Linked DNA regions of Pelodiscus sinensis. The protein of the gene in region 1 purifies or fractionates together with the protein of each later gene. This does not show direct contact. Links are inferred from orthologs where the notes say so. Each region holds a gene or a part of one and is shown on either strand. Other genes may lie near its edges.

The links.
Region 2: the proteins of BCAS2 (region 1) and CDC5L purify together in Homo sapiens (co-immunoprecipitation; 8 studies listed by BioGRID and IntAct, with this or other methods). This does not show direct contact. The link is inferred for Pelodiscus sinensis from reciprocal best matches to the Homo sapiens genes BCAS2 and CDC5L.
Region 3: the proteins of BCAS2 (region 1) and PRPF19 purify together in Homo sapiens (co-immunoprecipitation; 10 studies listed by BioGRID and IntAct, counting the BioPlex papers as one, with this or other methods). This does not show direct contact. The link is inferred for Pelodiscus sinensis from reciprocal best matches to the Homo sapiens genes BCAS2 and PRPF19.
Region 4: the proteins of BCAS2 (region 1) and PRPF8 purify together in Homo sapiens (affinity purification with mass spectrometry; 3 studies listed by BioGRID and IntAct, with this or other methods). This does not show direct contact. The link is inferred for Pelodiscus sinensis from reciprocal best matches to the Homo sapiens genes BCAS2 and PRPF8.

Annotation. Positions count from the first base shown.
Region 1 is NC_134737.1:737,770-745,776, reverse strand, and holds the start of BCAS2 (pre-mRNA-splicing factor SPF27), read right to left. Parts: upstream 3,003-8,007; 5' UTR 2,924-3,002; coding exon 2,831-2,923; intron 1-2,830. Other genes in the region: DENND2C (DENN domain-containing protein 2C), read right to left, coding at 5,264-5,295, 5,775-5,861, 6,803-7,042, 7,779-7,884. UniProt on the Homo sapiens protein: Required for pre-mRNA splicing as component of the activated spliceosome. Component of the PRP19-CDC5L complex that forms an integral part of the spliceosome and is required for activating pre-mRNA splicing.
Region 2 is NC_134713.1:10,746,220-10,753,416, forward strand, and holds the start of CDC5L (cell division cycle 5-like protein), read left to right. Parts: upstream 1-4,197; 5' UTR 4,198-4,414; coding exon 4,415-4,459; intron 4,460-7,197.
Region 3 is NC_134714.1:125,215,418-125,223,070, reverse strand, and holds the start of PRPF19 (pre-mRNA-processing factor 19), read left to right. Parts: upstream 1-4,648; 5' UTR 4,649-4,849; coding exon 4,850-4,868; intron 4,869-6,059; coding exon 6,060-6,209; intron 6,210-7,182; coding exon 7,183-7,259; intron 7,260-7,479; coding exon 7,480-7,621; intron 7,622-7,653. Other genes in the region: voltage-gated monoatomic cation channel TMEM109, read right to left, coding at 2,938-3,194, 3,513-3,594. UniProt on the Homo sapiens protein: Ubiquitin-protein ligase which is a core component of several complexes mainly involved pre-mRNA splicing and DNA repair. Required for pre-mRNA splicing as component of the spliceosome.
Region 4 is NC_134731.1:1,006,088-1,013,939, reverse strand, and holds the start of PRPF8 (pre-mRNA-processing-splicing factor 8), read right to left. Parts: upstream 3,003-7,852; 5' UTR 2,850-3,002; intron 1,990-2,849; 5' UTR 1,979-1,989; coding exon 1,879-1,978; intron 1,092-1,878; coding exon 923-1,091; intron 1-922. UniProt on the Homo sapiens protein: Plays a role in pre-mRNA splicing as core component of precatalytic, catalytic and postcatalytic spliceosomal complexes, both of the predominant U2-type spliceosome and the minor U12-type spliceosome.

The DNA.
Region 1 (8,007 bases):
ACAGCCCCCCCCCCGACACACACACACACACACACACGGGGACAGCCCCCCCCAACACACACACACACACACACACACACGGGGACAGCCCCCCCCCGACACACACACACACACACACACACACGGGGACAGCCCCCCCCGACACACACACACACACACACACACACGGGGACAGCCCCCCCGACACACACACACACACACACACACGGGGACAGCCCCCCCCCGACACACACACACACACACACACGGGGACAGCCCCCCCCCCGACACACACACACACACACACACGGGGACAGCCCCCCCCCCGACACACACACACACACACACACGGGGACAGCCCCCCCCCCGACACACACACACACACACACACGGGGACAGCCCCCCCCGACACACACACACACACACGGGGACAGCCCCCCCCGACACACACACACACACACACGGGGACAGCCCCCCCCGACACACACACACACACACACACGGGGACAGCCCCCCCCCCGACACACACACACACACACACACGGGGACAGCCCCCCCCCCGACACACACACACACACACACACACACGGGGACAGCCCCCCCCCCGACACACACACACACACACACACACACGGGGACAGCCCCCCCCCGACACACACACACACACACACACACACGGGGACAGCCCCCCCCCGACACACACACACACACGGGGACAGCCCCCCCCCGACACACACACACACACACACACACACACACACACACACACACACACGGGAACAGCCCCCCCCCGACACACACACACACACACACGGGGACAGCCCCCCCCCCGACACACACACACACACACACGGGGACAGCCCCCCCCCGACACACACACACACACACACGGGGACAGCCCCCCCCCCGACACACACACACACACACACACACACACGGGGACAGCCCCCCCCGACACACACACACACACACACACGGGGACAGCCCCCCCCGACACACACACACACACACACACGGGGACAGCCCCCCCCCGACACACACACACACACACACACACACGGGGACAGCCTCCCCCCCGACACACACACACACGGGGACAGCCCCCCCCCGACACACACACACACACACACGGGGACAGCCCCCCCCGACACACACACACACACACACGGGGACAGCCCCCCCCGACACACACACACACACAGGGACAGCCCCCCCCCGACACACACACACACACAGGGACAGCCCCCCCCCGACACACACACACACACACACACGGGGACAGCCCCCCCCGACACACACACACACACACACACGGGGACAGCCCCCCCCCGACACACACACACACACACACACGGGGACAGCCCCCCCCCGACACACACACACACACACACACGGGGACAGCCCCCCCCCGACACACACACACACACACACGGGGACAGCCCCCCCCGACACACACACACACACACACACGGGGACAGCCCCCCCCCGACACACACACACACACACACACACACACACACGGGGACAGCCCCCCCCCGACACACACACACACACGGGGACAGCCCCCCCCCGACACACACACACACACACACACACACGGGGACAGCCCCCCCCCGACACACACACACACACACACACACACACACACGGGGACAGCCCCCCCCCGACACACACACACACACACACGGGGACAGCCCCCCCCGACACACACACACACACACACGGGGACAGCCCCCCCCGACACACACACACACACACACGGGGACAGCCCCCCCCGACACACACACACACACACGGGGACAGCCCCCCCGACACACACACACACACACACGGGGACAGCCCCCCCCCGACACACACACACACACACACACACACACACGGGGACAGCCCCCCCGACACACACACACACACACACACACACGGGGACAGCCCCCACCCCGACACACACACACACACACACGGGGACAGGCCCCCCCCGACACACACACACACACACACACGGGGACAGCCCCCCCCGACACACACACACACACACGGGGACAGCCCCCCCCCGACACACACACACACACACGGGGACAGCCCCCCCCGACACACACACACACACACACACGGGGACAGCCCCCCCCGACACACACACACACACACACACGGGGACAGCCCCCCCCCGACACACACACACACACACACACACGGGGACAGCCCCCCCCGACACACACACACACACACACACGGGGACAGCCCCCCCCCGACACACACACACACACACACGGGGACAGCCCCCCCCCGACACACACACACACACACACACACACGGGGACAGCCCCCCCCGACACACACACACACACACACACACGGGGACAGCCCCCCCCGACACACACACACACACACACACACGGGGACAGCCCCCCCCGACACACACACACACACACACACACACACGGGGACAGCCCCCCCCGACACACACACACACACACACACACACACGGGGACAGCCCCCCCCCGACACACACACACACACACGGGGACAGCCCCCCCCGACACACACACACACGGGGACAGCCCCCCCCGACACACACACACACACACGGGGACAGCCCCCCCCGACACACACACACACACACACACACGGGGACAGCCCCCCCCCGACACACACACACACACACACACACACGGGGACAGCCCCCCCCCCGACACACACACACACACACGGGGACAGCCCCCCCCCGACACACACACACACACACACACGGGGACAGCCCCCCCCCGACACACACACACACACACACGGGGACAGCCCCCCCCGACACACACACACACGACCCGGCCCAGCGCTCTCTCCCCCCCCACTCACCGCCTCCCGCACGCCCGGCGCCTCGTAGCCTTGGTCGAAGTAGGGCAGCGCGTCCACCGCCACCTCGCCGGCCACCAGCCCCGGGCCCGACATGGCAGCAGTGAGAGCGACCGCGCGCTCCGCTCCGCTGCGCCTGCGCCGTGACCCCGACGCCCCTGCCCTCAGCGCGCCTGCGCCCCGGTCCGCTTGCCTTTTGTGCGCAGGCGCAGAGACCCGCGCGCTATGGCTGCGTAGGGTGCACGCGCCACCTGGATCCCCCTCAGCCCGCCCCTCCCCGCCCATTGGCCCTGGCGCGCGGCGTCTCCTTAGAGACCGGGGGGATGGGCCCTGCGCCCCTCCCTGGCTTGGCCTGAGCGTGCGGCGGGGGCTGCAGCCGGAGCCGTTAACCGCCAGCTCCGCTTCGTCCCAGCGCGCGGGGCCGGTCCCGCCCGAGGCAGAGCGGGGGGCGCCAAGCCCGCGTCAGCCCCCCCCCCCCCCCCCCCCGGGTTCGGGGTCCCGCGCCCCGCCGCTCCCGGGAGACGTTGAGGGGCCTGCGCCCCCTTCAGCCAGAGCGCGGGGCAGGGGCTGGGCGGCCGCTCCGGGCGGGACCTCCTGGGCCAGAGCAGCCATGGGCTCAGGAATCAGGGCCTCGTGCGCCGGAGCCATGCGCCGCCCGCTCCTGGAGAAGCCCGGCTGCCCCAGGGGGCACAGGCACCAGGAGTATCTTACACAAGAAAGCCCAGGGGCTGAAATGGCCATCAGAGCGTTCTTGCACAAGAGAGCGTCTGCACTGGCGTGGACACCTCGTGCACCACGGCACAGGCACCTGCAAACACTCTTACGCAAATACTTGAACACAAAAACTCTTAAAAGTATTTACGCAAAATCATACCCCTGTAGACATGGACAAACTGCTATTGGGAATATAAGCCCCTTCCAAGTGTTGTTCTATACAAGGAACTGAGCTCCACTGGGGACTTTTCAAACTCATGTATGAATTCTGTATGTCAACACTGTATACAACTAGTACGTGCTACGTTAGGTTGGAGCACTAAGAAGACTTTTCATTTCACTACAGCAGTCATTGTCATTACACAGGATTCAGTCAGAGTCCATCAGTGCCACGTAAACAACTGTTTATGAGAAAGTGCTATCAGAAACCAGCCTCCAGCTGCACTGTCAGGCCAACAGACTTGTTTAAGTAATTCACTAACTACAATAAAGGAACATCAATAGATTTGAATAAATAACTGGCATTAATCTATTATACAAACCCAGGCAGGTATTAACTATTTTCAAACCATCACAGGACTCAATTGCCATAACCTACTAACGTTATTCTTCCCCAACACTGAATGCTGAGGAATCTACATTTTTCAACAGCAAAGAACTAGAATAGCTGCGTTTTGGTATCTTATCCAACTTAACTTTCTTGCTGTACCAAGGCACTTAAGGAAAAAAGGATTTTTATATCCTTCTGAAAATCTGGCTCAGCACCTGCAGCAATATGCATCCTTGAGATACTGTCCTCTCATTTGCAGTAATTCAACATTAAATTAATTGCTTTTAATACCAAAATTTAAAGAATGAATGTGGCTCCCTCTGTGACGATGCCATTTTATCCCAAGAGAATTACAGTTCTAATTTGTGGAAGTCACCCAGCCCAAATTTACAGCAGGTAAGTGTATGTGATAAGGTAAAGGATAAGCCTGTTCCATATGTCAGCATAAAGGGCGAGGTGCTCTGGGCACTGTAAAATCAGAATATAGGACAAGTTAGAAAATAAGCTGACATTTCCATTTGGTTTAAAAAATGTAAAGCTTTGTGATAAACTGGAACTTTGTTTACACTAAATGAAAAGCTATTTCTGATCTCAGATCAGCCAAGAACATGGCTCCATGCTATCAAAACCATATACCATGTGTATGAAAGTGCACTCCAAGGAGAGAGGGCATAAGGCAAGCCAGAGCAGTCTTTTCAGCTTCTGAAGCAACTCCTTGAACAGGTTCTTAGTGCCAGAATTTGCACAGCCTGTTGCTTGGATCCAGCATGGCCCACAGACCCATTGTAGGATCACATTAGTTTCTTCCTTAAATGCTGATTTGGATTTAACCAAACAGAAAAGTTTTCCTAAAAAATGGCTCATCAAGCCAAGCAGCAAAAATATGGAGTCTGAAGTTTCACAACGAAAAAGCTCCCCTTTTAAATTCCCCATTGATGAGGAGAATGTGTTAAGCATCTCCAGCATGAAGTTCTTCATCTGCATCCATTTCCAGTTTGCCTCTGCAATGCTCCAGTGAAAGCAGGTATAGGATGGATTGTACTTCTTTTCCATTTTCTCCCACTATTTGAGCTTTCCATGGACTGAGCTGTATCTCAGTGAGTAGGTCTGACAATTTGGACAGCAGCATTTGTATGCAAAACTCCTCTTCATCAGTGTTTCAGCACCTGTTTTCACTTTCTGTGAAGAAATTTCATTTTGCTTCCTACCAAGAAAAGGAAACATCTAATTAGAACACTAATTAGACTCCAGAATCAAAGAAGTTAATTGAATAATATCTCTTGTTTCAAAGACAAGCCATTTTGACCAACAAAACAGTTTGTGATGGAAATTAATTAAGGCTCTTCAATTCATTCTCAGCCAATGCAAGATTGTTCCCAAAATCTTCATCTAGCCCTATTTTATGTCTTCAGGGACAGCGCTACCACCATTTGTTTTAGCCAAAGACTTCTCAATATGCATATTGAGAAGTACCATTACTGGCACGGGGTAGAATTGTAAATAAATGAATTGCAGCTCATTTTGAATATTCTGGGGTATTAACAGCACCCAAGAAAAGTAAATATGACTATGCAAGGTAGAAAATGTGCTTCCCCCTTCTGGCTAAACTCCACCTTGTTCAGTGGACACTTTTATACACAGGCTCAACAACTGACCCGACCAACGGCAAAACCAAACATTTACCCAGACTGCGAAGAATTTTGTTCATCCCGCTTGGTTCTGTCTCTGGAATAGTCTCCAAATACCCCAAGGCACGGACCTCAAACAGGCCTAAGGAAGAAAATCGTTTAGCCACCTGAGCTGCAATATGCAAAGAAATGGAACAAGCCACACCATTGATAACAAAAAGCATAATTTATTAGAGCTCCCATGAGGCTGGCACATACTCTTGCTAATGTAATGTACTTAAGAGCTACAGCAGGGCTACTCAACATACAATCCATGGGCTGCATGTGGCCTGCAGCCTGTTTGTTTGTGGCCCATTGTGCGGTTTGGGTTTACACGGGGCTCAACACAGGTGGGAGCCAAAACACAAAATAGTCAATATAATAGTCTTCTGTTGATATTAATAAAATGCAATATCAACCCGATTTCCACCCATATGACAGCACTTTTAATGAACAATGACAGTCCAGGAATGTAACTACTAAAACGCATGTCAATAGAACTGACTTAAATGGGGCCTGCATGTTGTGTAGTCTTGCCTTCATCTTTGTATACATACATGGTCAGTGTGAAAAGCTATTTACATAAATTTGCATATATATTTGGATGTATATGCAACCACACTTAAGTTGCAGCCCTCGTGACGTGCTGTAAGTATCATTGCGGCCCCCAGGGCTTCCAAAGTTGAGTAGCCCTGAGCTACAGGATCAAACCCTAAAGGAGTTTCTGCTTTCCATTTGAGAAAAGTTGGTTTAGTGAAGATAATTTCTTTTGGAAAATGCAAAGGGATAAAAGGTACCAGCACCTTTCAGACCCCAGTAAGTCCTGCATTATATAGGCCAAAATGCCATGGCATGCATAGAGCAGTTCCTGGATTCTTACTATGATTAGGGTCCCTTGGTCTCTTCTGAACCAGCTTCAATATTATTTTAAAACCTTAGGTGGATCCTTTTGAGGTCACTTAGAAATGAATATATCACATTGTAGACAAAGTTGACTTCTGTACCACAAAAGTAAGATGAAGCAGCTGGAATAGCAGGTCTCACCTTTGACCCCACTCTTACGGAGTTCCCGGTCCTGTATGAATCCTGCAAACATCTGTGTTTCCATGAACAGGTCTAGGAAATGGCGCACATTACGGGAGGTGTGTGACTTTCGAAATGGCTCTCGCTGGAACACCCGCTCTCCTTTCTCTGTGACATTCATGTGCAAGGAGTAATGTCCTACAATCTCCACAAAGAACTGTACAAAAGCTTCAGAGACCAGGGAGTTCAAAGTTACATCACCTACCAGGGAAAGGACAAAAGTCTATTTCACATTGCAGTAGTCAGAGTGTGATACTTCTGGGAGAGTATCGCCTTTGCTTCTCCAAAAAGTCCTGGCTGAATAGGACTGGGTGGCTCAGACTGAACAACAGAGTTTCATATTGTACAGTATGCGGACTAATCTTCCCATATTGATAGCTAATAGACCACACTGGCAAGGGAAAGATCCAATAGATGTAGTATCTTCATTCCAGTATTGTGTGATGGTGGTAAATAGAAATTGCAAAATTGGTATTTTAACTTAATGTGAATGATTGCTTAGTACAGACCTGCAGATGTACTTTCCTGGAATGATTCATTATTTTGTAAAGTGCTTTTGAGATGAGCAAGTTTAAAAGCTATTGTATAAAACTCCAATTCAGCACATGTCATACTACACTGAAGTACAGAAATTCTAATTTCTAATTAACGAAGAGGATTGATTAAATGTGCATTGATTAAAAGGATTACACAAACTCAAATATACTGCTAAGAGAACCTCTGTCTCATGTGGATCGGGCAAAATTAGGGCATTGCATTTCTCATTCTGCCTTTTTCTATAACCCACTCAAATAGTAAAGCTTCTCTCAGTGAGTCACATGGAAATAGCTTGCTAATATATGGCACCAGTCACTTTCCACCATCTACATGTGTTTTTGTGTTGACCAGAGCAAATCTCTCAGGCTTCCATATAGTGCAAACACTTTGATACAATCACCTTGTGTGTACACCTGCTCCTGGGATAAAATTTCATTTCGTTCCTCCAAAATCTGTACAAGTGCAGCCTGGAGTTTATGAGGTAGGATCTCATCCTCGTCTGATACCTAAACAAACAGAGATGGCTTGCATGGAATGTGTATTGCATCTTACATCAATATCAACAGTCCATGTCGAACAGAGAAAGGGATGCTGGGTGCATGCTAGTTCCAGTGAGATCAGAGTTACTC
Region 2 (7,197 bases), on another chromosome or scaffold:
TGTCCTTTCCTGCCCATAGTGTCAAAAGCAGCTAATACTTTCAGGCTTCTGTTTGCCACCAACATAACCCAGCTGCCTCCTGCCCCCTGCCTACAGTGCAGGCAGGAAGGGGTTAAGACCTAAGACTGCTTTGAGCGCTAGGGCTCAGGAACCTGGCAGCAGAGGCTTCAGCAAAACCAGCCAGAGAGGTGGCTTTGCAAAGGAGGGCACCTAGGGAATGAAGCAGGACCCAGAAGTGGGTGAGGGCTGGGCAGCATGTAAATAGAACCTTCTGGCACCTGCCTGCATTCATCAACTACTGCAGCCAATGCCAGCTAGATGGGGGATGCGGCTCTGCTGATTGAGAACCAGCATGCAGCAAGAGCTGCACTGACAGACAAGCTGGGAGAGCAAGCTACCCCCCGCCCTCCAGCTTTGCAAACCCACCTCTATTGTTGGCCATTGGACCCCTTCCCACTGCTTTTGCGTAAGTAGCTGGCAAGCAGGGATCCAGCCAGCCCATACAGCTGGACCCACCGTAACTGATGGGAAGGAGACACGAAATACAGAACAATTTGCCCATTTTTAAGAAAAGGTCAAGACAACTGTAGGAGGGCATAAATACAGGACAGACCTTTAAAAAATGGGACATCTGGTCACTCTTTTTACTGATGGGGAAACTGAGTCAAAGAGTGATTACATGGCCTACCACTGATAACATGGGAAAGCAAGTATATCTTAAATCTGGGTGGTTTCCAAATGGCTAAAACACTTTGGCTAATTTGTAATCATGTGAACTTGCAAGTTGCAGAAATATCTTATGCTCAAAAAGAACAGTTTCTTCATTAGAGGGATAGCAAATAATTTTTACACAGGTGGATACCTCAGCCACCAATGATGCCAGTGTCCATTGTGCTATTTTTTTAACACTATGAGGTTTATCATACCCTGATGAAATTTCAGGAACAATCTGGGATAGGCCAGCCTCAATCACCCACATTTTTAATTTGTCCAAGATGAAGCCCTACTCTTCCCCAAACTACTCATCATGACTCACTACTACCCAGAACCTTGGTTTCATGTTTCAGTGGAAAGACACCACCAGAGTTCTACCTATTGTCAGACACATATGTTGTTTGAATCATGTTTGAGAAAAGAACATCCTCTTCTTCACCAAAACTTTCTTCTGCACAAGTTGGGTCTTCCTTTACTTCTTCAGTAAACACGGTAACATGTGAAAGTGTAGTCTGAGGAGAGGAGACATGGTTGCGGCAGGGGCAGTTTACACAGTTTTAAATACACCACACTCATATTAATTATTTGGCAATTATATGGCAGCACCTAGGGACCACATTAGGAACAAGATACAAGTGTGCTAGGTATTGTACATGCAGAATAAGAGTCGCCCTGCTCTAAAGAGTTTACACTGTAAATAAGCAAGACAAAGAATAATATCTAATCTTAGTAAACAATGAGATGTCAGCAATAAGGTTTTTCTTAATAGTGGGATGGAGTTATGTTGTTGAAAGCAGATTGGCTAAAAAAGGTAAAAAATTGACATTTAAGGAGGAGAAGAAATAATGGGAGCTGAGAATGAAGATGGAGTAAATGAGCAGGAATAGGGAAGCAGAAGCCAATAGACTGCCATTACAGAGGCAAGTACTGCAGTGTAAATGCTGTAAAAACCAGCAAGAAGTTGCTGACATCTACAGGTTGCTGCTGCAGCTGTTTTCCTTTGCTCTTCCTGGTTGAGTTTCTAGCTGGCTCCTGCCAGCACTTCCTTTTGTCGTAACTCACATGGTTGAGAAGTATGGGACTGCATAGGCTCTGGTGCACCAGACAGGAGGTCTCCCCTACACAGTGTTGGGTCTGGAGATGCTAGAAAAGGGAAGAAGAGCAACCTTAACTGGATTACAGTTCCTGTTTCTCTTAGTGGTACTACTGTACTTGCGTCAGCTGTTTGTTTTTCCTCTATTACTGCTGCGTAGTTGTGAAAAAATGTATAGGTGCAGCCTTCTTAGAGCTTAACCAGTGTAATACATATAGCTGTGTGTTGTGATGAAAGGACCAAGTTAGGAAAAGGTCCAAATGCTTAAAATGTAAAAATTCAAACACCTTAAATCTGGCTTCAGGTGAGCATGGATGTCACTATATCAACCAAACTTTACCATGTACCTGTATTGTAAAATTAGAGGCACAATAATACTTTGTTAAATCTATAATTACATTTAATGCAAGTTTAATTAATGCACATGAAAGAAAAATATTTCCTTTATTTTTCCAGTTTAATTGGTGTATTTGACAGCAGTTGGGTACAGATAGTCTGTTTCCTCTGTGTGGATCTTTCATACAGCAACGAGGGAGAAGAAAACATTTTTAAAGCAGTAAAAATGTGTAAAAGTCATTCTTGTCCCAAATTGACTTAAGATTGTGGTATGACCCCTGCTTTTTGTATTGGCTGTTGAATGAGCCACTGATAGTGAAGACTGCCGCAGGGTCTGGAAGAAGATCCATATTTTGAATTAATAGAGTATCATCTTCTCCCAGATGCCCTCTGAAACCTCTACAGAATGCTCCAGTTCAGATTTCTGATGTGGCTCTCTTCTATGGACATCTCAGAGGGGTCGTTGTGTTGGTCTGTAACTTTAAAAATGAGTAGTCCTGTGGCACCTTATCGATTAACAAAAATATATATAGTATCATGAGTTTTCGTAGGCAAAACTCACTCATCTGAAGAAGTGGGTTTTGTCAACTAAAGCTCGCAATACTATATATATATTTGTCAGTCTGTAAGGTGCCACAGGACTACTCATTGTCTCTATGGAAGTGCTTGTCTAAGGCTCCCTTTGTAAGGAAAAGGTGGCTTCCTTGACTACCAGCTCTGCAAACGCAATGTGGAATGGGAAACCAGCCTAGGGCAATCTCAGCAATGCACACATGCATCCCACTTCAACCCAAGGGACACTTTCTTTACAGACAGGCACTTCACTTCCACACACTGCCATACCAAAGCATAGTTCTGCCTCCACAGACAGCTCCCCACCCCAAAGCACTGCCTCACCTTCAGACAGCTCCTCACCACCCTATCCTGAGAGACGCCCACCTGCACAAACAGCTCCTAGCCCCAGGAGACACCCACCTCCACAGAGAGATGAACAGCTCCCTTCCCCCAGCCCAAGAGGTACCCACCATCACAGACAACTTCCCCCCCCCAAGAGCCACTGAACCGCAGACAGATCCGGAGATCTCACCTGCACAGGCTCCCCTCCTGAAGAGACACAATATACACAGATGATAGACAGACAGCTTTCCACCCACCCTCCCAAGAGATACCCCCCTTGCACAGACAGACAGACAGCTTCCACCCCCTCATCCTAAGGGACATCCCCCCCTTGCACAGATGGACAGAAAGCTTACCACTCCCTCATCCTAGGGGACCCCCCTGTTGCACAGATGGACAGCTTCCCACCCCCTCATCCGAAGGGCCCCCCGTCCGTTGCACAGACGGACAGACAGCTTCCCAGCCCCTCATCCTAGGGGACCCCCCCATTGCACAGATGGACAGCTTCCCACCCCCTCATCCTAAGAGACACCCCCTCGTTGCACAGAAGGACAGACAGCTTCCCACCCCCTCATCCTAAGAGACACCCCCTCGTTGCACAGACGGACAGACAGCTTCCCACCCTCATCCTAAGGGATCCGCCGCCCCTTGCACAGACGGACAGACAGCTTCCCACCCCCTCATCCTAAGGGACACCCCCCCTTGCACAGACGGACAGACAGCTTCCCACCCCCTCATCCTAAGGGACCCCCCCTTGCACAGACGGACTGCTCCCCCACCGCAGTCCCAAAAGACCACCCCTGCAAAGTCAGACAGAAGGACAACTCCCCAACCCTCCCCCCGTCCCAAGAAACACTCCCCTGGACAGCCTCACTTTGCTTTATAAACCCACACACTCCCCCTCCTGCGCCCACCGTCCCACGAGGCTCCCACGTGCGGGATCAGCCCCAGCCCCACTCCCTCCTACCCGCCTCCGCCGCGTCCCTTTTCCAGCCCCTAGTGTCGGCAGCTTGCACCAGCCGGCGGGGTTCTGTGCCCGCAGCACCTCCAGGCACCAGGTGGCGCTGTGACAATTCTCCCCCGGCCTGTGCCAGCTATTCCGTCTCCCCCTCCCTCGTCCTTCACAGGAGCTGCGCACGCGCAGCGTTTGTCATCCGCCCACTAGCGGGCGCCGCGTGCCCTCTCAACGCGCCTGCGTGCAGCTTCGAGCCACGAGCTAACGGCCCGTCGGCTCGGAGTTTTGACACATTCCCTCCGCCCTCGCCCCCACGGCGCCTGCGCAGGATCTCAACCGGCCGTAGCGCGAAGAGGGGTGTCTCTACCGCGCCTCCGCCGACTCTTTTCTTCTGGAGCCCGCTCGCCTCCGCCGCCAAGATGCCGCGGATTATGATCAAAGGGGGCGTGTGGCGAAACACCGAGGTAGGGGCCGCTTCCCGCCGCGGGCCTAGCCGCTGAGACGCCGCTCCGCAGCGAGAAGGGGCAGTGGCGCGCATGCGCTGAAATGGGGTGGATGGGGGTTGTGCGCATGCGCGGAGCGTGTTGTCGGCATAGTCTGAACTACTTTTATGCGCCTGGGGTTCTCTACCGCCCCTCCCCCCCTAGCTCAGCATTCGCGGGCCCCAGGGGGCGGGGCTCGGATCCTCATGGGCCCTGTGTGCGGGGAGCTGCCCCCTCTGCAGCGTGGGGCCCCTAGTGTGTGGCATGGGCAGGGGCTCTGATCCTCATGGGCCCTGTGTGCGGGGAGCTGCCCCCTCTGCAGCATGGGGCCCCTAGTGTGTGGCATGGGCAGGGGCTCTGATCCTCATGGGCCCTGTGTGCGGGGAGCTGCCCCCTCTGCAGCGTGGGGCCCCTAGTGTGTGGCATGGGCAGGGGCTCTGATCCTCATGGGCCCTGTGTGCGGGGAGCTGCTCCCTCTGCAGCGTGGGGCCCCTAGTGTGTGGCATGGGCAGGGGCTCTGATCCTCATGGGCCCTGTGTGCGGGGAGCTGCCCCCTCTGCAGCATGGGGCCCCTAGTGTGTGGCATGGGCAGGGGCTCTGATCCTCATGGGCCCTGTGTGCGGGGAGCTGCCCCCTCTGCAGCATGGGGCCCCTAGTGTGTGGCATGGGCAGGGGCTCTGATCCTCATGGGCCCTGTGTGCGGGGAGCTGCCCCCTCTGCAGCGTGGGGCCCCTAGTGTGTGGCATGGGCAGGGGCTCTGATCCTCATGGGCCCTGTGTGCGGGGAGCTGTCCCCTCTCTAGTCTGGGGCTCTCAGTATTTAGAGTATTTAGTATTCTGTGTGTGGAGAGCTGTTCTCACTGCAGTCTAGGGTCCCTAGTATGTAGCATGGGCAGAGAACCCAAATCCACATCAGCCTTTTGTGTGTTGGGAGCTGTCCCATATGTAGTCTGCCCTCCCTCCCCCATAGCATCAACAAGGAGCACAGATCTGTACAGGCCCTGTGTACAGGAGCTGGTTCTGCTGTAGGCTGAGGTTCACAGTGTGCAGCATAACCAGGGGTCTTAGATCCATATGAGTGCCTGTGTGCTGGTAGTGGTCCCTGTGTGCATGAATGGGCAGGGACCTGTTGGAACTGGTTCTTCTGCAGCCTGGTGTCTCCAGTGTGCAGCATAAGTAGGTGGCTCGTATCCCCACGGGTCGTGCGCGCTGGGAGTTGTTCTCGCTTGCAGGCTGCTGTTCACTGCAACGTGGACAGTTGGCCAGAGCCACATGGGTCCCTGTGTGCTGAAAAGTGTTCCTGTCTGCAGTCTGCTTTACCTGCTTCCTATGAGGGAGGGTGAGGCTAAGTATAGCTTGCACTCCTATGGTAAGAAGCATTTCTGACAAAGCAAATATTTGATCCTTTACATAACTAAAGTTTGATCATATCCTGACCTAACAAGCACAAACAATTCCCTCTATTAGGCAAGACTTGTATTCTCCTATCTTCTCAGACATCCAAAGATACTCTCTCCTCTTCATCTTTATCTTCTCAGGGGATGGTGACCTAAAGACCCATCACCTCTGAGGGCTGCTATCATCTGTGGTGACTGGTTCACAGTAAACATGTGTAGCTAAATGATGGTCATGGGAAAATTGCCAGTGATTATTTTTACATCATAGCAATGTTACTTGTGATGCTAACTTATAGCAAATGGTGTCTTATCATACTCCCCTCTCTCACTATATTATTATGCAGAGAAGACTTTTTAATTTTTTAGAAAGAGCTAAACATTCCCTTGACATATCTCAGTCCAAATTTCAGAGCTTCAAGTTAGTCACAATGCAGTCTGAAGTAGGGATGTTAAATGTCAGTTAGTTGAATAGTCGAGTAACTTATGAATTCTCATCGATTACTCGACTATTCTATAGTCCCCAGGGGCAGGGCCAGCAGCCAGTGTAATCCAGCCCCACTCCTGAGGATCACCCTGCCACTCCATGTTGCTGCCTCTGATACAGAGGCAGCAGTGCTCAGGGCCAGGCAGAAGCTGGTCTGCGAAGGGAGCCAGTTTAAAAACCACCTCCCCTCATGGACTGACTGCCTGTCACGCTATGATGCTGCTTCTTATACAGGAGTGGCAGCAGCTCCTGTCTTGGGTGAAGGGTAGGTCTGAGCTCCTGCCTGCTTACTTCCTAATACACTTTAAATGCAGAGCCACAGCGGGGATAGGTCCCAGACTCGGTGCAAGCCAGGACTGAGACAGGCTACTGGCCAGCCTCCTAAAAATTGTACTAGGTAGCAGTGGGAAATGCATGTAGTCTATAGCATTAACCTATAAACTTTTGCTTATTGCTTAATTGGTTAATTGACTACACTGTTACTGAAGATTTACGTACACTAGGTATGTAAGCCTTGTGCTATGTGTTCTGTGGTATAAGGCTTATACTGCAGAGCCCTCAGCACAGTCAGCAAGTCAACTCCCAGTGCCTGCTGGCTCCCAGCTGTTGGCCTTCTCCCGGGGAGCCGGCTGCTGCTCCAAGCTGTGGGCTCTGAAGTATCAGAGCCTGCAGCACAAGGCAGCAGCAGGCTCCCTAGGAGTGGGGCCAGCAGCTAAGAGCTGGGGCCATTGGGTGTGTAAACCACTCCCAGTGAGCACTGCCTCTTACTCCAGCTGCTAGCCCCATTCCCGGGGAGCCAGCTGTGCTGTGGGCTCTGCAGTATAAGGCTTATAAGCTTAT
Region 3 (7,653 bases), on another chromosome or scaffold:
GCTCTACACCAGCAGCTCCCAGTGTAGGTACAGTGCTATGGTCTTTCTTGGGGAAGTGCCACAAGGCTTTGGCTGTTCCTGACTGCGAGGGCAGCCTCTTGGGGCCTTGGGCAGCCCCTGAAACTGCTCTAACTTCACTAGGGCCTGAAATAGTCCCCTCCCAGGAAAACCACACAGGTGGTGCGGGGTCCCCTTTCCCACCATCCCCTGGGCCTGGTGCCAAGCTCAGCATGGCTGCAATTAGGGTGGACTGATTTATATCAAGCCAATTTACATCAGTAATTTGGATCATCAAGTGGAAAGCCACGGTTTTAAATCAGTTTTAATTAACAGTTCCACTTGTAGTACAGTTATTTTCTAAAGAACAGAAGCGTGTTCTTCTTGGTTGAGCTACCCTTCGAACATGCTGATTTATAACTACATAGAGCCTCGACACTACATTTGGTACATCTGTTTGTTCCCTAGTGCGAAGGCACATGGCAGTGGCTCAGAATCAGAGGCCAGATGATCTCAACACCCATATGACTAGATCAGATTCTTGCTCCTAGTAGCACAGCCTGTGTCTCCCGCCCCCCCTTAATACATGACATGACCTGTTCTGCCACATGTAGAAAGCATGATTTCAAGTGAGAATTTTACCCCTTATTCTTTATCTAGGAAAGCCGTCATTAACACATTTTCGCGAGAGGCTCAGGGCTACAGCAACTTGATTTTTCATTTAAATGTTCTAAGAGATGACATGTGGGTCTTAATATAGTTTGAAATTCAGGATTTTAACCAGATTTTTTAAAAAAAATAAAGAAACTGATCTAAATAAATTAAAAACATCCAGTTGAAAAACCAAAAATAACCCATACAACTATATCCAGCTGATTGCAATCCAGCCCAGAGCAAACAGGCTACCTGTGGCTCCTGAATCCAAGATAACATATTTCCTAAATACTTGTATCTCACAGGGTACGGCTAAACTGTGGGAGGGGTTTCGGAAGAAGTATGCAAATAGTGCTAGCCTTTTTCCCCCCGAAAGAGGCTTTTCCGCCATTTGGCCCCATCTACATGTGGCCAAAAGTCGGAACCCTCCTCCCCCTTTTTCAAAAGCCCCCTTCTTCCTCATAAAATGAGGCTTACGGGGGCTTCCAAAAGAGGGTTTTTTTTCAGAAGAGGTGTAGACGGAGCCAAATAGCAGAAAAGCCTCTTCCAAGGAAAAAACCTGAAGAAGGTATGCAAATGCGAGTGCTATTTGTGTATCTCTTCTGAAATGCACCCCCCCCCACCAGTGTAGCCATACCCTGTGAGACACAAGTATTTAGGAAATATATGCCAAACCTTCAGCTAATCAGATGCCAGCGCATCCTGTTTCAAAGTTCCACTGGTGTCAGTGTGCCAGTCCCTCCAATGCACAAGTTGGTCCGGATGTTGATATCACACTCACTTGATAAGATCTTATGCTCTGAAGTGCTACTGAACCAGCCAGCTGGCTCCATCACCCCAGAAGGAAAGAAAAAAAGGAAGCTCCTTCTGTCTAACGTGCTTTTGCAACCCCCTTTACCATAGTATCTGAGCTCCTTGCAACCTTCAGTGTATTTATCCTCACAGCCCAAACAGGGCTGGACTGTTGTCCCCCTTTGATAACTGGGGAGCTGATACACAGAGAGGCTACAGGACTTGACAAAGGTCACCAAGTGAAAGCTGGGGCAGAGCAGGGAATTCAATCCCGATCCCTGGGCCTCAGACCAATATCCTAACTGTGGGACCATCCTTATGCTCTTATCCTTTCTGGGCACTTATCAGCCCTTAATAAAGCAAAGTCTCACCCACCCCCAACCTTGGGAAGCAGCTGTCACTCGACTGATCGGATAAGCAAGAGGTTGCAAGGAGCTGCTGCCAGAAGAGCTAGGAATAGAACTTATGTCTCTAATGGCAGAACCAAGACTCTGGCACACATATTGCCTACTGGCAGAGCAGCTGGCTGAGTTGAACTAAACTTCCCTGGTCAGAAATCCCAGGGGTTGGGAGGGGAGGGGAAGAGGGAGAAATACCAAGCTTCTAGAAATGGGTAAGCTAGGTTTGACCAATACAGGCTGCACTGGAAATGGATTATACAGGTTCAACCTCTCTAGTCTGGGACCCTTGGGAGCTGACTGGTGACCAGAGAAGGTCAATATTGTTTAGTGGCATTACCAGCACTTCCACTGCTTACTGGGCTCCTAGAAGATATTTAGGGGTAAATTAGAGCTGAACAGCACAGAACATTGAGAGCCAGAACTGGTGGCTGTAAACAAACTTTATGGGACTGCAGGAAACGTGGCCACACCCATGAGAACTGGACATCCAGCTAACTAAAATCATGCCAGACCACGGATGTTGCTGGACTAGAGAGTGCCAGACTAGAGAGGTTCAGCTTGTACTAGCCTTCTTCTCAGTGTATGCACATCATGCCGCAGGTGGCACGAGACTAGGATTCATCACTGAATTTGGTCCGCTGCTTGGGTCATTAGCTTCCCCAGCCCAGGGCAGATATAGACAGGGAGTGCAACCTGAGCAGTGATTCATACCTCCATGTGCCACTTATTTTGCCTAAAGTATGTAATAAAAAAGAGCTAAGTGGTGGCGATAGTATTATCTAATCACCTGCCATCACTAGATCTCACAACACTTCCCAGTATCATTTGCCTCATTTTACAAATGGGGAAACAGGCACGGGGGGATCCTTGCTCAAGATCACCCAGTCCAGCTGGGAAGAGAAACCTGGTCTCCTGAGTGCCAGTGGCTGCTCTACCCACTAGACTATGCTGCCTTCCTACATTCGCCTCTTATGACAGCTCTGACAATGCTCAAAGTTATTTCAATTGATCCCAGAGAGCAGTCAGTCAAGCACCCCACACAAATAAATACAGCCCCCCTTCTTTCCTGATTCAGCTAGGATTCCAGCCTTACCTCTGTCACGAGTTGAAGTGCATCCTGGCCAATCCACTCCTCCAGAGTCTCCCTCAAGCCCTGAGCCAGCTGGGACAGGAAGTCAGAATGGACGGCTGCTTTCCAGGTTTCGCCATGAGTGCTGGCCCCAGCCACATGAAGGAAAGCGATTGACATCAGGAGAGCCATGGCTAGTCGGAGCAGGGCTTGGCGGCAGCATGAGGACTTAAGATCCCGCCCAGTCATTTCTCTGGCTCTCCTCTCTGCCCCAGGAGTCTCTGCCAACGGAAAAGAGAAAGATGACTAAAGGCACAGAGCATAACGAAGTGGGTCTTTGCCCACAAAAGCTTATGCTCCCAACACTTTGGTTAGTCTATAAGGTGCCATAGGACTCCTTGCCACTTTTGCAGATTGAGACTAACACAGCTACCCCTCTGATACTTAACAAAGTTATAGAATCCCTGTGTTTCTGTTGGCCCCAGGCCAGCACCGCAATGTCAGGAATGTCAAGCAGGCAAACAACATCCCAGCGACACCAGGGTAACTGTGATCTCGCCTTTTAGTTGAGAATCAGCCACTTACCAATACCCACTTACCGGCTTCCTGACCTCTCCCCAGGCTTCCCTCCCCCCCACACTCCCCTGTAAACTGCCTAGCCTCCTGGAAAGGATGACTCATGTTTCAGCCAGTGAGTGAGCTGTGGTTATGCAGACAGACAGGGCATCAAGCCAGTCAGAGGGAGAAATTCAACACCCAAGCCCCACCCTTCTGGACCCCCAGGCACTCATAGCATGTGGAAATGAGGTCAAAGGTCAAACCTGCACCCATCTTAGGCAGTGATCACATCACACACAGCTCTGGCAGAGCGAGCTGACAGTGCTTGGGCGAGACTGAAAGAACAGCTGGGTGCTGCAAGCCTGCTGATGGGAAAGGAGAGTCTCTCTGTGCTTCAGGGGCAGCGCTGAGGCAAGCGCCAGAAATGCCATCTTTGGGAACAAGTATTAGATGAGGTAGCCGTGTGAGTCTGAATCTGCAGAAGCGGCGAGGAGTCCTGTGGCACCTTATAGACTCACCGAAGCGTTGGAGCATAAGCTTTCGTGGGCAAAGACCCACTTCGTCCCATGCACGCATGCCACAGGACTCCTCGCCATCTTTGGGAAGAGTCACGGAAACTCGGCCCTGGGCTTGCTCCCGGCCTGCTGCCAAGGGCCCGCAGAGCAGCGTGCTGCAAAGCCCAGGGGCCAGCGGCGAGGGCAGCCCAGAAGCCAAGCTCCCCTGGCAGCACAGCGGCTGCCCCCTCCTGCCACCCCAGAACCAGGCGCCTTGGCCGTGGCTGCCACGGCGCAGCCCACAAAGCCTCTGGGAAGCTGCTGTGGGGCGCAGGGGGGATGCTCCAGGCTGGGCACCTCACCCTGGCTGCCAGGCCCCAGCACCGCAGCTCACCCTGGGGGTGGGGGTGGGGGCAGCTCTGCCCAGCTGCTGGCCAGAACGCTGGGCGCGCAATTCAAATCTAGCACCTGGCGCGGGGGCCGCTGGGAATTGTAGTCATAGAGGTGTGTGAGTGTGTCCCCGCGCAGAGCATTGTGGGAGTTTCAGCCCTGGGCGGCACCCAGTGCATTCTAGGAACGAAGCGCGGCATGCCGGGAGTGGCAGTTCCAACCACCTCGCCCCCTCCGGAAATGCCCGAGCGGCAGCCGGAAGTTGCCGAGCTGCGCCTGCCCGGAGCATGCGGAGAAGAGTTCCGTTTCCGGCGGGGGCGGGGCTGTGGAGTCTGCCGCGCTTCTCTGGGGCCCCGCGTGAGCGAGTGGACGCGGCGCGAGGCCGGTCTCGGTCGGGACGCAAACTCTCTCTCTCCCCCCCGCCCCCCTTCTCCTTCCCGGAAACGGGGCCCGTGACCCGGAAGCAGAACCGGGACCCTTAAGGAGACGCCGCCATGTCCCTGATCTGCTCGAGTGAGTGACGGGCCGGGGGCCGCGGGGGGAGGGGCCGGGCTTGAGTCGCCCCCCGGTGACCGATCCTCCCCGCGGGCCCGGTGTCTCTGCAGCGGACCCAGGAGGAGACTGCAGACCCCCCCCCCCCCCCGCTGGGTGTCCCCTGGGGGCCCCGATCCCGGTTCGTGCCGAGCCCCTCGGCGCCCGAGTCTGCACCTGAGTCCGCCCCTGCAAGGCCGCGGCTGCCCGGCCCGTGTCCCGGGAGGCGCAGCGCCTGGGCTGGGCAGGCTGAAGCACAGACAAGCCCCCCCCCCTCCTCCCGGCTCACCGGGCTGGTGGGCCGGGGCCAGGCCGGGGGTGTCACAGCCAGGCGGCGATGGCCGGCCTCACCCGATACCCATTTTGCAGCGGGGTGAATTGGAAGTGGTCTTTCGTGCGGGGCGGGGGGGGGGGGGAGTCAAGTGCAGCTTGAACCTGCACCTTTTAGGCTTGTAGTTGGGCACCTGAGCCGCTCTGCCACGGTGCTGAGAACTAAATAAAGGTGCACGAGGGAGGGACTTAAGATATCTGGATGAAAATCTGCATGTACGGTTTTCAGTGCTGCTGATCCTACCAGTTCCCGTGGAAACGAGCTCAGAGAGCTTTCCATGGTAGCTCCTTCCCCTTAGGCACATAAACCGTGACAGTTACACTTCTGAGTGTGTCTCACATTTTTTGCCCTGTACAAATGTAGGTACTGCTGGTCTGTGCACATCTGACAGCTTGTGATGTATAAAGCAAGTCAAGCTTTTGCAGCTTATGCTAGAGATTACATATAACAGCACAGATGAAGAGCCATGGAATTCATAGTTAGGTTAGATTCATCATTAACTGCCTGATCTGCCCGGAGGGAGACCTAGCTACTTGTTGAAAGGCATGTGTGTGTCATTCAGGGACTAACTACGTTATTAGAAAACAGACCTTGGACAGAAAGATGGTGCACAGAAGCTTGAATCAATAAAGATAAATGAGGATGATGACAATAGCTTACATATAAACAGGGAAGGCATGGTAACAGTGCTATACATGTAGAGGCTGTAGGAAAGATTGGTCTGTGTCCGTTACCTTTGTCTTGGAGCTTCTCTGTCTTCTGGTAAGCAAGGGGTTTGTGTAAGGACCTAGGTTCTTTTGTTTGTCCACTTGTCACCACTGCAATCTTTTTATTTTTTGCAGTCTCAAATGAGGTGCCAGAGCACCCTTGTGTATCGCCAGTCTCAAACCATGTCTATGAGCGAAGATTGATTGAAAAGTACATTGCAGAAAATGGGACTGACCCAGTGAACAACCAGCCACTGTCTGAAGAGCAGCTGATAGATATCAAAGGTATCAAGCGGTGGGGAGAAGATTTAGAGGTGTGACATGGTCGAGTCTCACCAGCTGTAGGAAGTTGGGTGGATCATCACTACCATCACTTGGCCTTCTGACTAAGCCTTAGCTTCCACTGCTCACCAAGCAATTGCCTGGTGGGCCAGGAAGATATGATCATTACAGAAAGGCTACGTCTAGTTTTCTGTTAAAAGCATTTGCGGAAAAGAGCGTCTAGATTGGCACGGACGCTTTTCCGCAAAAGTGTTGGGGAAGAAAAGACACCAAGAGAATGTAGGAATCCTTATAAAAGGGGCAAATCAGTATTGAGTTTAATCATCTACATCCAAAATCTTTAGCATGTCCCTAGTGTCCTCTTACCTCTCAGGCAAAGTCTAAAAATTCCTGGGGAAGTAGGCCAACTTGGTGCCTCAAACTCTTCATATTTTCATCCGTCAAAGACTTTGGCTCTCCTCTGGCCCCTTTCTGCCTTCAGCCCTTTTGAATGCTGCCTTTTCCTCTTCTCTCTTGTTGGAATGATCTGGGTTTGGCTGGTATAGGCCCAGATTCCTCCCACTCCCAGCAGCCTCTGAGAGGACTTGTTAAATAGAGTCAGCTGCTTGGGGATTTCTGTTCTCCTCTGGGCAATTCACGCTGTCACAAGAGATGTATCTTGGGGATTTGGGGGCTCTGCTGAACCTTGTCGTTGGCAGGCTACTGCATTGGCTGAGCCACTAGCCTGATTGGCATGGTAGGATCCAGGATGCTCACGTCAGAGATACATTAACATCCTCATTGTCTAATGGGTCTCTTCCACAAGTGGCTCACGTAGGCTTAAAGCAGAGGATCAAGTAAGGGTGCACATGGATCTGGATAAAGGGATGGGTGAATGGATGTGTTTGAGGGTGGAGAAGAAGTAGAGAGGCAAGAGACAGGAAAGGAGATTAATCCTCACTGCTGAGGCTAACAGGTCCACGTGCCCCATTCACAGTTGCCCACCCGATCCGGCCCAAACCACCTTCGGCCACCAGCATCCCGGCCATTCTGAAAGCCCTTCAGGATGAGTGGGTAAGTGCCCTCGTGGGGAGAGATGGGGTGGGTGTTGGGGCAATGGAGAGAACAGGTTCTCTTCTGATTGGCTGGGGAGGTGGGCTGCCTTTTTTGCTCGCAGAGGTTGGGTGGGAGGAGTCCCCCACTCTACTTACCCAGGTAGGCAGAGCTTGCTGAGCTGGGGTGGACAGAGCATTGAGTTCTGGTGGGCTCCCTCACCGTGCGGCTCCTCCCCCAGGATGCCGTCATGCTGCACAGCTTCACACTCCGCCAGCAGCTGCAGACCACCCGCCAGGAGCTGTCGCACGCTCTGTACCAGCACGACGCTGCCTGCCGCGTCATCGCCCGTCTCACCAAAGAGGTCACTGCTGCCAGAGAAGGTAAGTCGGGGAGATGGCACTGATTGAGGACA
Region 4 (7,852 bases), on another chromosome or scaffold:
CACTGACCAATCTCCACCGGTCAGCCCCGCTCCCCCGACGACCCTCCCCCACCAGTCCTGCTGCCCCCGTCCAGCCCTGCTTCTGGCACCTGATTCTCCCATCCTCCTCCTCCTGATCTCCCCCGGGCAGCTCTCCCTCCTCCCATGCAGTCCTGGTTCCGCCGCCTGCCCTCTCCGATAGCCGCCGGCGGACAGCCCCGCTACCCCCAACCCTGCTTCTGCCTCCCACCTGCCCGCCGCCCCCCCAATCTCTGCGGGACAGCCCCACTCCCCCAACCCTGCTTCCGCCCACCGCCCGCCCACATACCCAGATCTCCACGGGACAGCCCCGCGCCCCCAACCCTGCTTCTGCCTCCCACCTGCCCGCCGCCCCCCCACATCCACAGAAATTCATCTTGTGAATTTCTAGGGACTCTGCATATGGCCAGGAATGAGCAATGAACTTGATTTTGAAATGCAAATAAATGCTTCTCTTGCATTTGGATCACCCAATCACTGTGCAACAGGCATCTCTTCTGAACTCCTTCAAGCCTTTTATTTAAAAGAAAAAAAAAGATCGATGCTTCTGCACAATAGCCTTTACCTGATAATTCAAGCACAACCTCGGCTCCATTCCACCCTACTTATTTCTGTTCCACTGCTCACAGTCCATCTCACAGTCCATCTCCATAGCATTTTACAAGAGCTCACAGTATAGAATTTTCTTCTATGCACAGAGTTTAAAGTAACTGAAATCTCTCTAGGGGAGGTTTTGGATCTCTCGGTGATCTCTACAGGCCAGTGCATATCTGTGGCATTGGTGTAGTGCAGCGTGCTGCTTACAATTCCATCGTCCAGGAATGGAATACCTGTAACCATATATGCCCTACCCAGAGCCCTCCTTGCCCTGGACATGGATTAGAATGCTCATTGCTCTCCTTACCCCAAATAAACTCGTTTGTCATGACGAAACTTCCTGTTAGTCATGTCACCATGGTCCCGGATAATCTTCCTCACATGTTCTGGGGGCATGTCCTCCTTCTGGGCATCCACAAAACCAAACTTCCTCTTCTCAGCATACCGCTTTGCCTGCAGCTGCTGCCATTTGCGGGCTACACAAACAAGAACACACACAGTCCAGTCCAACCAGAGCACCATCATAAAAGAGACTCCAAATCAACATGAGCCCAAAATTACATGGATAGTGAATGTACAGAGCTCTACTAGTAATGCAAAAAGTATTTTGAACAGGGTACAAATCTTTATGCATCAGAGTTTATACCATCTCTAACCCCACCAGGGAGCAGGAAAAGGCACTCTCACACCTGCCTACAGTTGGCCTCTTGCACCGTGCTCTGAGTTATGTAGTGCTGGAGACAGGACACTGGCCCAGAAGGACCCCTGCTGTTATCCAGTCAGGCAGTTCTCTATTCCTGTGCAACCACCACCTTTGCATTCACATTCTCCTCCGATTCTCCCAATGATGCCTGGCGTATCGCACTGGCAAGAGCAAAGAGTTGCAAGAATCATAGACTAACAGCTGTGATTATAATTGCTATGTTGTTTACTCTGAACAGAGTTTTACTGCTAAAATACATGCAACTGACAGCAGTCTGCTTAGGGCAGTCTCACAGGTTGCAACAGAATAGTGAGAAAAACCCAGCAAAACAAAGTAGGGCAAATGCTCATGCACCATAAATCAAATGAACTGAACAGCTTAGTGAGCAGAATACGATGTCTGACATAACACAACCAAAGGACACAGAATTCACTGTGGGGCACAGAGCCTGCCTGGCCTTTGCCTAGCTGTTGCATGGACCTGGGACCTCTCTGTCACCGCTTCCAGGAGTGCATAACCCACAAACCCTGTCTGGGACACATTTCAATAAGCTCTTGCACCTTTCTCCTGCAGCTTCTCTTCAGACATGTAGTCGGGCAGTGGAGCCAAGGGACTGGGCACTGGGGCACAGCCCCCGCGGTAGGGAAACACTCCAGCCATGGAGAGGCAGGCTAAGAACCAAGGGGAGGAAGGAAGAGCAGGCTCAGGTTAGTCAATGCCCGCCACAGAGCGGAAACACACCCAACGTCACAGCCCTCTTCTCCCGCCCCCCGCCGCCACCAGCGACCCCCACACACCCCGCCCCCTCCTCCCGACCCCCCCGCACACCCCGCTCCCTACACCCCGACCCCCCCGCCCCTCCTCCCGACCCCCCCGCACACCCCGCTCCCTACACCCCGCCCCCCGCCCCCTCCTCCCGACCCCCCCGCACACCCCGCCCCCTCCTCCCGACCCCCCCGCACACCCCGCTCCCTACACCCCGCCCCCCCGCACACCCCGCTCCCTACACCCCGACCCCCCCGCCCCTCCTCCCGACCCCCCCGCACACCCCGCTCCCTACACCCCGACCCCCCCGCCCCTCCTCCCGACCCCCCCGCACACCCCGCTCTCTACACCCCGACCCCCCCGCACACCCCGCTCCCTACACCCTGACCCCCCCGCCCCCTCCTCCCGACCCCCTCGCACACCCCGCTCCCTACACCCTGACCCCCCCGCCCCCTCCTCCCGACCCCCTCGCACACCCCGCTCCCTACACCCCGACCCCCCGCCCCTCCTCCCGACCCCCCCGCACACCCCGCTCTCTACACCCCGACCCCCCCCGCACACCCCGCTCCCTACACCCTGACCCCCCCGCCCCCTCCTCCCGACCCCCCCGCACACCCCGCTCCCTACACCCTGACCCCCCCGCCCCCTCCTCCCGCCCCCCCCGCACGCCCCGCCCCCTCCTTCCGACCCCCCCGCACACCCCGCTCCCTACACCCCGACCCCCCCGCACACCCCGCTCCCCACACCCCGCCCCCTCCCCCCGCACCTGTCTCCGCTCAGGCCCCTCGTGCCTCGCCCCGCGGCCTCCCGCTTCCCACCCGCAATGGCGGCCCCCGAGCGTCGCTGCAGCGCTCCAAGGACCCGGATGGGCTGAGGGGGCGGGGCCAGTGGGCGCTCTGACCATTCAGCTCTCGGGCTGGTGACAGGTGGGCTCTCCAGCCTATGAGCATCCGCGACCGGCTAGGAGGCGGGTCCGGCCAGCGGAAAGGGCGGGGCTTGCTAGGTCAGGCGCGCGGGTTTTCTTCCGGTCGGAGACCCTCCCACAGCTCGTGTGGAGCCACGCCCCCTGCAGGCCACGCCCCCATGCGTGGCTGGCCGCTGTTGCCCCTGGACCCTAACGATGGCGCCAGTGGGCTGCGGGCCCTGCCCTGGGCTGGTGGAGGCTCCCAGCAGGCACCAGAGCCGGGCCGCTGCCGCCATCCCTGGGCAGGGGCGGGCGCAGCCGGAGCCGCTCAGCCCAGGCGCCATCTGCCCGCCCCCGGCAGCCGCCCAACGGCCCATTTACTGCACCAGCTGCTGCCTGGCCGGCCGGGCCCCACCGCAGCCCCCGTGCCCGTCGGGCCTGGCCTCCCGCGGCTGCGCTCTGCTTTGTCCTCGCCTGCCGCCCTTCGCACGTGGCACTGACCTGCTGCTCTGAGCGGGACGGCCGGGCCGCACCCGAGAGCCAAGGCCTGGGCATGCCAGGGCCAGCGGCGCATTCAGAAGCTCTGCGGGGTCGGGTCGGGTGGGCGGTGCCTTTCTTAAGGGTTCATCGCACATGCACAGGTTCACCCGACTCCTGCACCCCGTAGGGGCACGGACAGACTCCGCCAGCCAGTAGAACAGGGGGAGTTTATCGCTTCTCCAAGGATGCAGCACAGCACAGATGGAATCAGGTTACAGGGCAGGCCTAGGATGCCTCAGCCCCCTTGAGATGGGGGTGACTGGGCCCCTAATTCCCAGGCCCTTGCTTAGGCTGCTTCCTCCATCATGCCAGACAGAAACTGACCCTCTTCCAGCCTTGCCCCCCAGACAGGGGTAGGTCTCCGCCTTCCTCCCTTTGTCTCTCTCCCTGGGAGGGGACCTGTCGGACAGGTTGGGAGACCCTTGCCTAGTGACTCATCCGCTGTCCTGTTGGGCCGTGCTACAAATAGCCGCCAGTGGAGGTCACCCACTGCCCAAGCCCAGCAACCAGCAAGGCCCCCCCCCCCCCCGTACCACACTGGGTTGTAGAGCAGACAGCACCCCCACTACGTCACAATCACCTTCTCAGCTTTGACTGTCACTGGGCCTGAGCACCTGCTCTCAGAGAATTGGCCACCAGGATGCCAAGATCTTTTTTTTGAGTGGTAGCAGCAGCTAATTTAGACCCCATCATTTCCTATGTCAGGGTTACTCACCTTTGGAAGCCCTGTGGGCCATAATGATACTCATAGCACCATAGGCATGCGCACGGGGTGTACCAGCTGTGCCCAGGCACACCCTAATGTCTTGGGCCAGCTAGCAGCTGCTGAAGGAGGAGGGGGACTTGAGCTGGGGAGCCGCAGCCCCTAACTTTCCCTGCGGCCATCTATGGGGCACTTTAGGGCAGAGAGAGCATGTGCGCAGAGGACTACAGACCACCCCTGTCCTTCCAGCCCCGTCCTCGGCCAGCCCGGCAGCACTGTGCAGCACCCCTCCTGCGCCCCGGGTCCCAGACACGGCCCCACCCAGCCAGGCAGCACTGCATGGCGCCCCTTAAAGTGAGGCACCCAGGGCTAGGGCCTGGCTGGCCTGTAGCTGGGGCCGGCTCTGACTCCAGCCCCACAAACTGGAAGACAGAAGCCAGCTTAGCCAAAGGTAAGGTAAGATAAGGGAGAGGAGGGGAAGGGGGAAAATTAGGGGGCAGAGGTGAGAGAGGAAGGGGCTTGTGCTGAGAGGAGGGGGGCAGGTCAAGAGAAGAAAGGGGAAGGCACCAAGGGACAGGGTAGAGGAGAGACAAATGCCAGGGGGCCAAGTGCAGACAATGAGGAAAAGGGCAGGAGGGGAGGTGTTAGTGGGAAAGGAGACAGGGTGATGCTGGGAGAGGAGAGGGTAAGGGCTTTGGGGGTTAGAGGGAGGAGGGGGAGGTGCTGGGAAAAGGCATGAAAGAAGGGGTGGGTATGAGGCAGGGATAGAGCAAGACGTGTGAGGGCACAGGGGCATGAGGAGAATGGGGGCAGAGGGTGGTGAGGGGTTGAGTATTAGGGGCAAAGGGGGCAGGGGCAGTAAGGGAAGGGGAGGCACCAGGAGGGTGCAGGGCTAAGGGAAGGTGCAGGTGCCAGGGGATTCTGGGGTGAAGCAGAAGGGCAGACACCTGCAGGGGAGGGACCAGCACCAGAGGAGAGAGGCAGGGCAGGTGTAGAGGGAGGTGTTAGGAGAGGTGATGAGGACGGGTAGCTCTAGGGTTACCAGGTGTCCGGTATTGTACCAGACAGTCCGGTATTTGCACGCTCTGTCCAGTAAAAAAAATGAGAAAATACCAGACACGTGCAACGTGCGGTATTTTCTGATTTTTCCGGCTGCGCACCGGACAGAAGCCTGGCGTGTGCGGGGGAGAGCGGCTGGGAGGCGGGGCCGCGATTGCCACCAGGAGCCCTCAGTCGGTTGAGTGTGAGGAGGAGGGGGAGCCTCCTCCTCACTCGTGAGTCGCCAGGAGCCTGCGCGGGACAGGCAGCAAGTGCCCAGGTCAGTCCTGCTCCCCGCCGACCAATTTGCTCACCCCCCCCTTCTCAGCTGGCTGTTTCTCCCTCACTTCCCCTCCTGATCTTCCCCGACCAGCCCCCCTGCACCCTCCCCAGCTCTGCTTCCCGCCGTCCCGTTCCTCTTCCTGATCTCCCCCAGCCAGGGCCGCTGCACTGCCCCCCCGCCAGCTCTGCTTCCTGCCCCCCTTTCTCCCAGCCACCCTCACGGCCCCTGATCCCCCCAGCTGTGCTTCCCGCCCCCCCTTACTTGCAGCCATCCCTGCCCCCTCCCAGCCGGTCCCCCCTCCCCTGATATTCTGCGTCCAGCCCCGTTCCACCCGGCCCCCCTCCCCACAACCAGCCCTGCTTCCTGTTGGCCCCCCCATCTCCTCCGGCCAGCCCTGTTGCCCCACCATTAGCTGTTTCCAGGCCCCCCCATCTCCTCCCCTCCCCGGCCAGCACCACTCCCTTCCTAGCCAGTCCTCCTCCCCCTCACCCCCCCCCCCCGAAGCATATCCGGATTTTTGGGTTTTTTTTAAATGAGTACCTGGTAACCCCTAGCAGTGATCCAGGTCCTTGGAGTCTATTTTTTTTTCCACTCAACAACTTTGGTGTCCCCCCTTTTTTTTCCTTCAACAAAATTTTTCCCCGTCTTTTTTTTTGGGGGGGGGGGTTCAGTATTTTTTTTTCAGCCATCTGGCAACCCTAGGTAGCTCACATGAGTAGAGTGGGGCTACTGGAGGAGTGGGCACAGGGGGGAGAGAAGGACTGGTGGAGGGGGGCAGGTTGCAGGAAGGCTGAGGGCAGTGAGAAGGGCAGGAGTCAGGACAGCAGAGGGAGCAGCAGGCACCAGGGGAGCTGATGGAGCAAGGGGAGCCACGGCAGCAGAGGGAAAAGGTAAAGGGTTATAAGATATTTATTAATAACTTGGGTGGCACATTGAAACAAGCCACATGAACTCAGTACTGGTGCACAACACAAAATTCATTCTGCTCATGGGAGGAAACTTTTAGAGGGACACTTCCCCCAGCCTCTCTGCTCCCGAATTAATGTCACACACATTGGGGTAATGCAATTGCAGGATAGTTGCATACAGGGGTGGATGAGAGTGCTGTGGGGCCCAGGGCAGTGCCGCGGGGCCCAGGGCAGTGCCGCAGGGCCCCGGGCAGCAAAATTTCACGGCCCCCCCCTTTGACACAGCGCATGCGCCGTGGTGCCAAGGTGCATGCGCGGGGCCTCGGGAAGTGCGGGGCTCAGGGCAGCCGCCCCGCTCGCCCTGCCCTAAATCCGCCGCTGGTTGCATAAGGGGAGCTTGGTGGGGGCCAAATTAATTCCTGTTGGTAGGAGGATGGTGGAAAAAGTCCTTGGGGGGGTCACATGACACCTTTTACTTCTGGTCATGTGTCACCTCCGGAGGTGTGGCCAATAGGGGTCAGGGGCGTGGCTAATGGGGATCAAAGTACATTTAAAAAAAATTCTCTGGGTGCACATCCCAATGAAATGTGCTGTGCATGCATATGCAGCTCACGTGTGGTTGCAGATATATGCAGACAGCTTCTTTCGCACTGACAGGCATGAACACAAAGATGAAGGCAACACTACACAACACGCAGGCCCCATTTCAGTCAGTTCTGCTGATATTAATAAAATGCAACATTCCCCCATTTCCGCCCTTACAACAGCACTTGGAATGAGCAATGACAGTCTAGGAATGTAACTACTAAAACGCATCTCAACAGAAGACCGTTATATTGACGACTTTTTTGTTTTGGCTCCCACCTGCGGGCTGTGAGAGCCCCACGTAAACCCAGACTGCACCACGGGCCGCAAACAAACAGGCCACATGCGGTTCACAGGCTGCATGAGTAGCCCTGGCCTATGTAAGGGAAGTCAGGGCCCATAGAGACACTTAGACACCCCCCAACTGCAGCTACCCCCTTCTCATTGGTTTGCACTGATGAGCTCATTGTGGGAACAAACCAGAGAGGAAACCCAGCCCTGAGGCTCATCCCCATGCACAGGAAGCCTGGATGAATCAGTCTCCTACTTCACTGAGTAGCCCAGAGAGAAGTTAACCCCCCGCCCTGTTATTTCCCTCCTACAGTCTAGCAGCTGCTTGGAGAGCAGAGGAGTCCTGGCCCCCCCAGGAAAGGCAGGGTGCTGCAGACCGGGGCCCCAAGACTCTTCGAGGTAGATGTAACGCAGCCTGTTGTAATACCAAAGCCCGGAGGTAACAAGCAAGGTAGAGGTAGGAGGGGAGGGGATAAAACCCCCACCCAGTCTCAGGTGCTTTTTCTGGATGCCCCAT